2 linked regions of the Xenopus tropicalis genome follow. The protein of the gene in region 2 interacts with the protein of the main gene of each other region in a biochemical or structural test. Links are inferred from orthologs where the notes say so. Each region holds a gene or a part of one and is shown on either strand. Other genes may lie near its edges.

Region 1 (4,056 bases), on a different chromosome or scaffold from region 2:
GTTCTGCTGATAGGCTTCTGGGAAAGGGGTGATATCACTCTAACTTGCAGCTCAGCATGTGACTGCAGTTTATTAGAGCACAGGTCACATGGTTGTGGCACCCTGGGAAATGAAGAGTATGGCTAGCCCCATGTGAAATTTCAAAATTAAAACCAGCAGGATTCTGCTGGAGAAGCTCTATTAACTGATGTGTCATGGGAAAACATGTTGTCCAATTACAGTAATCCTTTAAGCTGAAAAGACTATATTGAATATACATAGAATATTTCTTCCCTTTCAGTGCACTAAACACAATGAAGGGTCTTGGTTATGTGGTTAGGATGGTGAGGTCAAGATAATATACAATCTAAAAGAGGTTATCATGGGAAACAGGATCTTTCTCCAAAAATTTTAAATCTAGTTGAATGCCTAGTGTTTCCCAGAAACCGTAATACCATGAAATTTCAAACTGGACAACTGAAGGTGACATATTTCAGTTGCAATGTTGTTGACTTGAATCAAATGTGCATATATGGCTTCGCATTATCTTGTGTATTTGGATCAATCTGTTGCGGATGATATAGCCAACTCCAACAATTATGGATTTGGTGCATGCTGAATTTGTTATGAAGAGATCAATGAGCTTTCTGGATGTTAATTTACAGACAGTCCAAGGGCACCCACTGAGATTAGAAGGAAGTAGAGGGAAGGAGGACACATTGTTTGCAGCTACCCTCACATGTGGTGCCTACCTCTGATATAAATGTGGTTTGCCCTGCAAAGGGTACAGTCCTCTAAAATGCAAAAAGGTCCAGTTTAGGGCAGTTATTAGCCACAACGGTTTACAGGGAGAAAAAACATACAGTTGATGTTTTGTTTACCACAAGTAGCAAAAAAACCCAAAAACATTTCATTGCCCTCAAGGAGTGGAAAAAGGTGGAAATAGTAGTAGGACACACTAACAGTTGTATTGGCAACAATTAACTTCCGTAAGCGTTGGATACCTTTTATCAAGCAAAGCAGTACAAGGTTACTGTCATTAATACATCAGTACAATATAAATCCAAAAACTGCCCAATATACCAGTTTGCAGTGGAACGATTGCTTCCTTTCTGAGGGAAGTGGAAGGCTGCTTTGGATAGGGTTATTCCTTTTCCTTTGGAATATGCTAAATTAGTTTGTGAGTTAGATTATATTAAATTCCTAATGTCATACAAACATGCCGAGTATTCAGCCCTGACTTAAAATTAAAAGATGAACTTAATTGATGTGCTTTTCTTAAGCAAAGGTTGATGCCACAAAGGGCTGATTCTCGGCCTGTGGAAAAACAAAGACCGAAAATCAGGCCTTATACTGGCAACAGTCTTCTTTGCCTGCACCCGGAACCACTGAATCACAGTCTGCTCTTGTGGGATATCGACTCTGAAATGCAAACTCTTGTTTCTTCAAAGATTCCCGCTGCGTGTGCCTGCACCCAGCCAATTCAATAGTTCTGGCAAGAAAGGAGGCTGATGCCAGTGCTGGAGCTGATTCTCAGTCTAGGTTTTTCTGCATTATGAGAATCCGCCTGGTGTGGCATCAGCTTTAAAGGAGACATATTGGATAAATGGGGAAAAACAATTATTTTGTAGGCAATTATGAATAATATACGGTGCTGGTTTCCCTTTGGGCTAAACATTAACCCTATCTGTAACAATGGCCCCCTTATTGGAGCTCCCTATAGATCCTATCACGTCTCCGTCCAGTGTGAAATGAAGAGTGGGCGTGTCCCAACGGTCCCTGCCAGATGCACAGTAGTTAGGAGAAAGCCAATCACAGCCCGCAGGAAGTGGAACAGATGGGCGGGGCTAGTGGAGTTTTGATGGAATTTCTCAATAAATCAGTCAGAAACACAACATTTTTAAGCACAATCCTTCTATATTTAGAGGAGTATAATTTACTGGTACATTCTTAGTTTTTATAGGATATGTCTCCTTTAAACTACTGTTTTCTATGGGTAACCCTTTAGATCACTCAAGTGATTACAAAACTGGCACTTATATTGTAGTGTCACCCACTGTCACCTACAGCACTTATATTTGCCTATTTGTGTCTGTTAGTTACCCTCCCATATAGATTGTAAGCTCTACGGGGCAGGGACCTCCTTCCTCTTGTGTCCTCGACTCTTAACTTATTGCAGCTGTATTTATTGTTATACTTTCTATTTATCTATTATCTTATTAACCCCCTGTTTGTATTAATGTATTCTACTGTACAGCGCTGCGTATATAAGTAGCGCTTTATAAATAAAGATATACATACATACAAAGCAAGGCAGTGGGATGACATATAATGCTCACCTACAGCGGACCGTATCACCCTGCCTTTAGCAGTTGCTTTCTGGTCGTGCCGCAGTCCCTGCTGCTTCAGCCGCCGCAGTTGCTTTCTCATGCCGGTTTTGCTGCTGGAAAGGCAGGGCTTCGGCTTGCTGCTTGAGTTTCTTTTCTTGGAGCTTGACTCTGCACCTGTACAGGTTAAAGGGGAATGGTACAGGTCACACAACTTTGTACTTTTCTTTACAGTAAAAACCATCACTCATTGAACATTGCGCATTATTTGCAACTTGTGATAAGAATCTTGAGCCCATACATATTGCTGGACTACAACTTCCAGAAGGCTTTTAGCCTTATTTATATGTTGTTAAATGCTGGGGGTGGAAATTCATGTTTACACGGATACGTCCCCTACAGTGCCCCTTCCAAACTAGGCAATTGCCCTATCCTTACCGCTCCTTTCCTCCCTAAGCAAATCCAAGCCTTTCCTGAGCAGTGACACAGACATCCCCGCGGCTCCCGGTTCCAATGCACGCGTGCTTAAAATAAACAACTTCCGGCAGGCTCGGCACGCCACTTCCGGCTTAGCCGCGTACACTTCCTTAAATAACCCTTGTCTCTTAGTAACTGCGGCTGAGTTTATTTCCGCTTGCGTAGGACGGGGGGAGGGGCTTGCGTAGGACGGGGGGAGGGGCTTGCGCACGACTTCTGTATTTTCAGAAATTCCTGTCACACGGGTGCCAAACACTCCGTGCGATACGAGTTGCGCCCCTTTGTGTTTTCCTTTGAATGTACATTTTATATAGAACGTTTTGTTCACTAGCCCTGTGGGCAAATGTGTCACTTTTGCTTCATAATAATGCGGTACTTTGTTCACTTTGAGTTAATGTTCGTAGGGGATTCAATTCCCGCGCAAACTTAGAATGAGAGGCTGCCTGTAAAATGTTTCCCGCAGTAATATTCAGTTCAATCCCGCTTAGCCATCAAGCCGTTCTCTAGTTCCAGGGATGTAGAGCAGGGGGAATGGAGTTTTCAGTTTGAGCCTAACTATATGGCTTTCTGGTATATTTAAGTATACAAGAAGTTTGCCCTATGTCTGAGGGAAGGCTGAGCCCCCCCCCCCCCCCCCATACAGCTTTAACCCCTTCACTACAGCTTTACCCCCCCCCCCCCACAGGGAGCAACTTTATTAGCTTGTGTTGTGTGAAGTAACCCGCAATCACAACTGAAACACTTTTTATTTTACTTAAAGTGGACCTGTCACCCAGGCATAAAAAGCTGTATAATAAAAGTCCTTTTCAAATTGAATATGAAACCCAAACTCATTTCTTTATTAACACATCCATACCCATTATAAAAGCATTTAAAAATCCCAACTGTCAATCATATATTGCCTGCCCCACCTCTATGCCTTAGGCATAGGGGTGGGGCAGGCAGTTACTTTCACTTTCAATTCAGAACTTCTTAGATGTCACTGTACTCCTCACATTCCCCCTCCCTCCTCACCATCTAATTGTGTAACCAGTGCATGGGCATCAGGTCCCCCCATACAGGCACAGAAACAAGATTTTGGGGTGATACAAAGCTTGCCTAAACAGTGTCCACAAAATGGCACCTCCCTGCTTGCTGCAACTGTGAATTCCAAGACTGAAGAAAATAAGATTAAACTAATTTATATGGTGTAAATTAAATGTATTTTGCTTGACAAACACAAGTGAAAACAATCTGGAATTATTTCTTAGGGTGACAGGTCCCCTTTAAAGGA
Region 2 (4,302 bases):
TTTCAAGAAAACAAGACCACAAGATGGTCAGAAAGCTATCAGCAGAATGTTTTGTAGCAGGGATTCTGTACCAGTTAATTTATGAAGCCCTAATAAGAAAGGTCTCAGTGGAGGTCACCACAAGTGTCCAACATAAAAAAAATTTGTGTATTTATTGTCTAATGTCCATTGGTAAGGCTGTAAGAGGAGAATGCTATAAATTTATCAAACTCAAACTAATTTTTTCTAATATAGTAAGGATAATTCTGTTATAAACTAAAGATTTTGCTAGCATGGTTATTTCTTTCTACTAGGCACAACTAGGCCTATAACAAAAATAGGCATCTTTACCTATACAGGGCCTGGGTGCCCAATCACTTGAGCTGGCATGAGATGCACCATCATCATCTTCACTGTCACAAGAATGAAAGCCACCAGCAAGATCATCATCCAGATGGATACCCGCTGTAAAAGAATTCAGCCAAGGGGTTTAAAACAAGGCATTTTCTGAAACAAAGACTGCACCAAGAACAACGTTTTCTATCCAATACACAAGTACATTTTTGTCTTTGTGGCAAAGATAACACATTTTGTAACAATTTAATAATCACTCTCAGTGAAAGGGTGTAAATGAGTGATGAGTGGGGTCACAAAATACACTTTTTCCTGGAACTCAATCTGTTAGTGACGTCACCAAGGTGGAGGCTCACAGAAAAAGATGATGGTAGGTATAACAATACCAGCACCTGGACCCACCAGAACCAGCAACCCAAACTCACCTGACCAGAGGACAGTTGATTTACACATCACTAGTGGAAATTTTAAATGTTTCGTCCACACCTCCTGAGTTGTTACTCATTGTGAGCAAAAAACAATGGGAACTGCCCTGTGTGCAGTGCTGATAATGGGAACTCATTCCCCCAAACCCTAGCACCCTCAACTAGCCTCCATTAGCCAACTCCCTGCTCCCATTCCACATGGACAATTATGCTAAAAAAGATCACAAAATGAGCAGATCTTCACCCGCTGGTCATAGGTGCTGTCAGACAATGCATCCCCAATCAGAAAACCACACCTGTCCCATCGAGATCTGGACAATTTAAGACTGTCAGTCGTGTAGGCCTGAAGGACCCGAATCGGAAGCTGAAATACCTGTGTATGGCCAGCTAAAGTGCTGCCCCAGTAGTATGGAGGCTGGAAAAGCACAGAGACAGATCAGGGAGTGGCAGTGAACTTGGCTCACCACCCACAAATTGCAACCCCTGGGTTATGCAGGTTTTAGGTCGACCTGCACTGTTGTGAAACCTCCATAAAAATGCAGAGTACCGTAGAGGAGATCATAGGTGCCATCTTCTGTTTCTTCAGATCCTCTTCATGCAACAAATCCACAATTTTTAGGATCCGGCCAAACCCTGAATCCTTTGCAAAAGATTCGGCCGAATACGGAACCGAATCCTAATTTGCTTATGCAATCTTCAGAATCTTGCTGAAAATGGCCGAATCCTGTATTAGATGCATCCTTGCACTTCACAGAACCTCCTTGCACTTCTTCAGAACCTGAGCAGTTGGAGCTACTCTGGGATCAGCTTTAACTATGCATGTCCCTCAGGCTCTGTGTCAGCAAAGTGAGGATACAAAAAGTGATGACTGTGACTCCCGTTACTCTGCATTTAATGGCAGGTTCACACACATGGACACTTTTAAATGTAACTTTGTGGGGCTAAAAGAGGCCAGTTAAGGAGCTGTTTTGGGGAGGCTGAAATTTCCTTCAGGAAGGACCCTTAAGTTTCTTTATCCTACCAGTACAAGGACAGTTAATGAGCTCTATACAGCCTATGTGTAGATAGTTAAGGCCAAGAGAAGGCAATAGCCTCCCTTTTGGGAAAAATGCCCTGAAGGGAAGAAAAGTAGTGATGTGCCTACATTTTAGCCACATCCAAGCCATTCACAGCCTGGGTTTGTACATGTGTAGTTGAGTAAAGCTCTTTGACTTGCCTGCTGTAGGGATTCCAAAGAGAAGGTAAGTGAAGATTTTACCCTGGGCTGGTGCATTTTTTTCTACAAAGGAGCAGCGGCCCAACTATAGGGTGTAAGCATAACTTTTAAGCTTTCTTGGGCAGGGCTCTCTTCACCTGTTGTATCAGTTATTGATTGCTTTATATGTTACTCTGTATGTCCAATGTATGAAACCCACTTGTTGTACAGCGCTGCGGAATATGTTGGCGCTTTATAAATAAATGTTAATAATAACTCACTCACATATACCATTGCTAATGTTTTTAAATGGAATATATGTTCAAACTTGGCAAAAGCACCTTCATTTGTATGGGTCAGTATTAGCAAATGGAAGGGAGAGAGGAGTAGCACTCTATACCCACTGATGCGCTGAATCGCCCACATTACTGCACTGAAGAACCTCCAAACACCTACAGAATATGCCCCGCCCAATGCCGCTGTTAGTAGGGAAAGAGTTAAAGGGAACCAACCTCCGTAATCAACAGCCTGATCCGACAGGTCTCCATTGGGCATCTCCTCGGCTCCGCCCTCCTCCTGGCCTTGTACCAAATACGTTCCCAAAGGAAGGCCCTGAAAGCCCGAGCCATTGTGCGCTCTGGATTTGCTTTCCATTGCCGAAGAGGCCTCGCCTTCCTCCTGGAGAGAAGCAGCTATAGGCGGCAATGCCGCTTTTCCCTCGCTTTCAGCCCCCACAAGCTGGCTCCCACCCCCGCCGGTATCTTCCAAGCGCTGCCTTTTGGAAAGGGGCTCGCCATTTTCTTTTGAGACAGCTAACACAGCGCCGGCAATGGGAAAACCTACACGATCTGAGTCCGCCATCTTCCCACTGCCAGAGAAGGAGTCGCCCATCAGCTGTACGATGGAGCGCAGCGAACCACGTGATACACCGTTTCCTATTGGTTCCCCGGCCGTGTGACGTGTACAATAACAAACTAGCCACTCGCATGGTACCTGGGGATGCGCTGGCACCGCCACAACGAACGGAGAGGGTGTTGGAAAGCGAAATCGGCAATAAAGTGTCATTTTCAGGGGTGTGTTGGTGTGGTGATTGTCAAGCCCGCAAAGCCTGTTAGCAGATACAAAAGCCAAAGGAGAGGGGCATTTTTTATAGTCCGTGTAAAAACTTTCTCTTGAAGTTGTCTCATGTCTAGGGGGAAAAGAACTGGGGAGATGCTGAAACCATTTTGGCGTCATTAATCAGTGTAGGTTAATAATATTTGGCTTAAGCATCATTTTTAGAAGCTCTGTGCATAACACATTTGTGGATGTAATTTGCCGAAATTGCCTTAAGAGGAAACTTGGGGCGACTTTGGCAAATTGCTGCGCATTGTATGCCACCCCACCAGCGATTTAAATTGTAGCCAGTGGGATGGCATTGCGGGGAGATTAGTCGCCCGCGACAAGGGAGATTTGTCACTAATCTCACCATGTGTCCCTGCCCTAAGGGGAAAGACACATGGAGCTACTAGTAGCAGCTACTTTTTCAAGGTTACTAAACTCCAGAGAATCCCCTGCCATAGACAATACTGAGAATTGCCAAAAAAAACACATAGAGACGGTTATCAGTAAATGATCAGCATTGTCTAATTTAGTAGCCACTACAAGTAGCTGCTACTAGTAGCTCTGTGTGTCTTCACCCTAAGGGCTCTGGCACACGGGGGAGATTAGTCGCCCGCGATAAAACTCCCTGTTCGCGGGCGACTAATCTCCCCGAGTTGCCTACCCCTGCCATCCCACCGGCGAACATGTAAGTCGCCGGTGGGATGGCAGACGCAGCGGGGCAATTTCAGGGAATCGCCGAAAAAGACTCGCGAGTGGGATGGCAGGGGTAGGCAACTCGGGGAGATTAGTCGCCCGCGAACAGGGAGTTTTATCGCGGGCGACTAATCTCCCCCGTGTGCCAGAGCCCTAAAACAGAATATGAACAACTAGAATGGCTATAGAGCAGTGCTGCAGTGCCGAGGGCCGGAATTTCTCTAGCATACGTGGTGGAGGGCCGCTAATGGAAGCCAGTTTTGACCACTCCCCTTTTTGAAACCACACCCACTTCAAACCACACACATTTTATCACAATGGTGGTAGCACAGCAAAATCCCAAATGCTTGGTGCTTACTGTGGGGATATCAACCATCATTCATATGTGAAAGAATTATGTCATATTAAGATATACCCTTAAATTCCATATGCCTCCTCCTCCCCTGTGGATAGCAGAGCAACCCCCAGTACATAATTACACACCTTAGGGACCATTTAATGGCTATTTCCAACTGCTAACAAACTCCCACAAACCCCTGCCAGGTTCACCTC

The links.
Region 1: the proteins of sirt1 (region 2) and rps19bp1 form a complex in vitro, tested with the Homo sapiens proteins (2 studies listed by BioGRID and IntAct). The link is inferred for Xenopus tropicalis from reciprocal best matches to the Homo sapiens genes SIRT1 and RPS19BP1.

The regions. Positions count from the first base shown.
Region 1 is NC_030680.2:121,078,643-121,082,698, forward strand, and holds the start of rps19bp1 (active regulator of SIRT1), read right to left. Parts: upstream 2,810-4,056; 5' UTR 2,800-2,809; coding exon 2,745-2,799; intron 2,484-2,744; coding exon 2,319-2,483; intron 1-2,318. UniProt on the Homo sapiens protein: Part of the small subunit (SSU) processome, first precursor of the small eukaryotic ribosomal subunit.
Region 2 is NC_030683.2:38,239,724-38,244,025, reverse strand, and holds the start of sirt1 (NAD-dependent protein deacetylase sirtuin-1), read right to left. Parts: upstream 2,815-4,302; coding exon 2,466-2,814; intron 445-2,465; coding exon of another isoform or gene 331-444; intron 1-330. UniProt on the Homo sapiens protein: NAD-dependent protein deacetylase that links transcriptional regulation directly to intracellular energetics and participates in the coordination of several separated cellular functions such as cell cycle, response to DNA damage, metabolism, apoptosis and autophagy.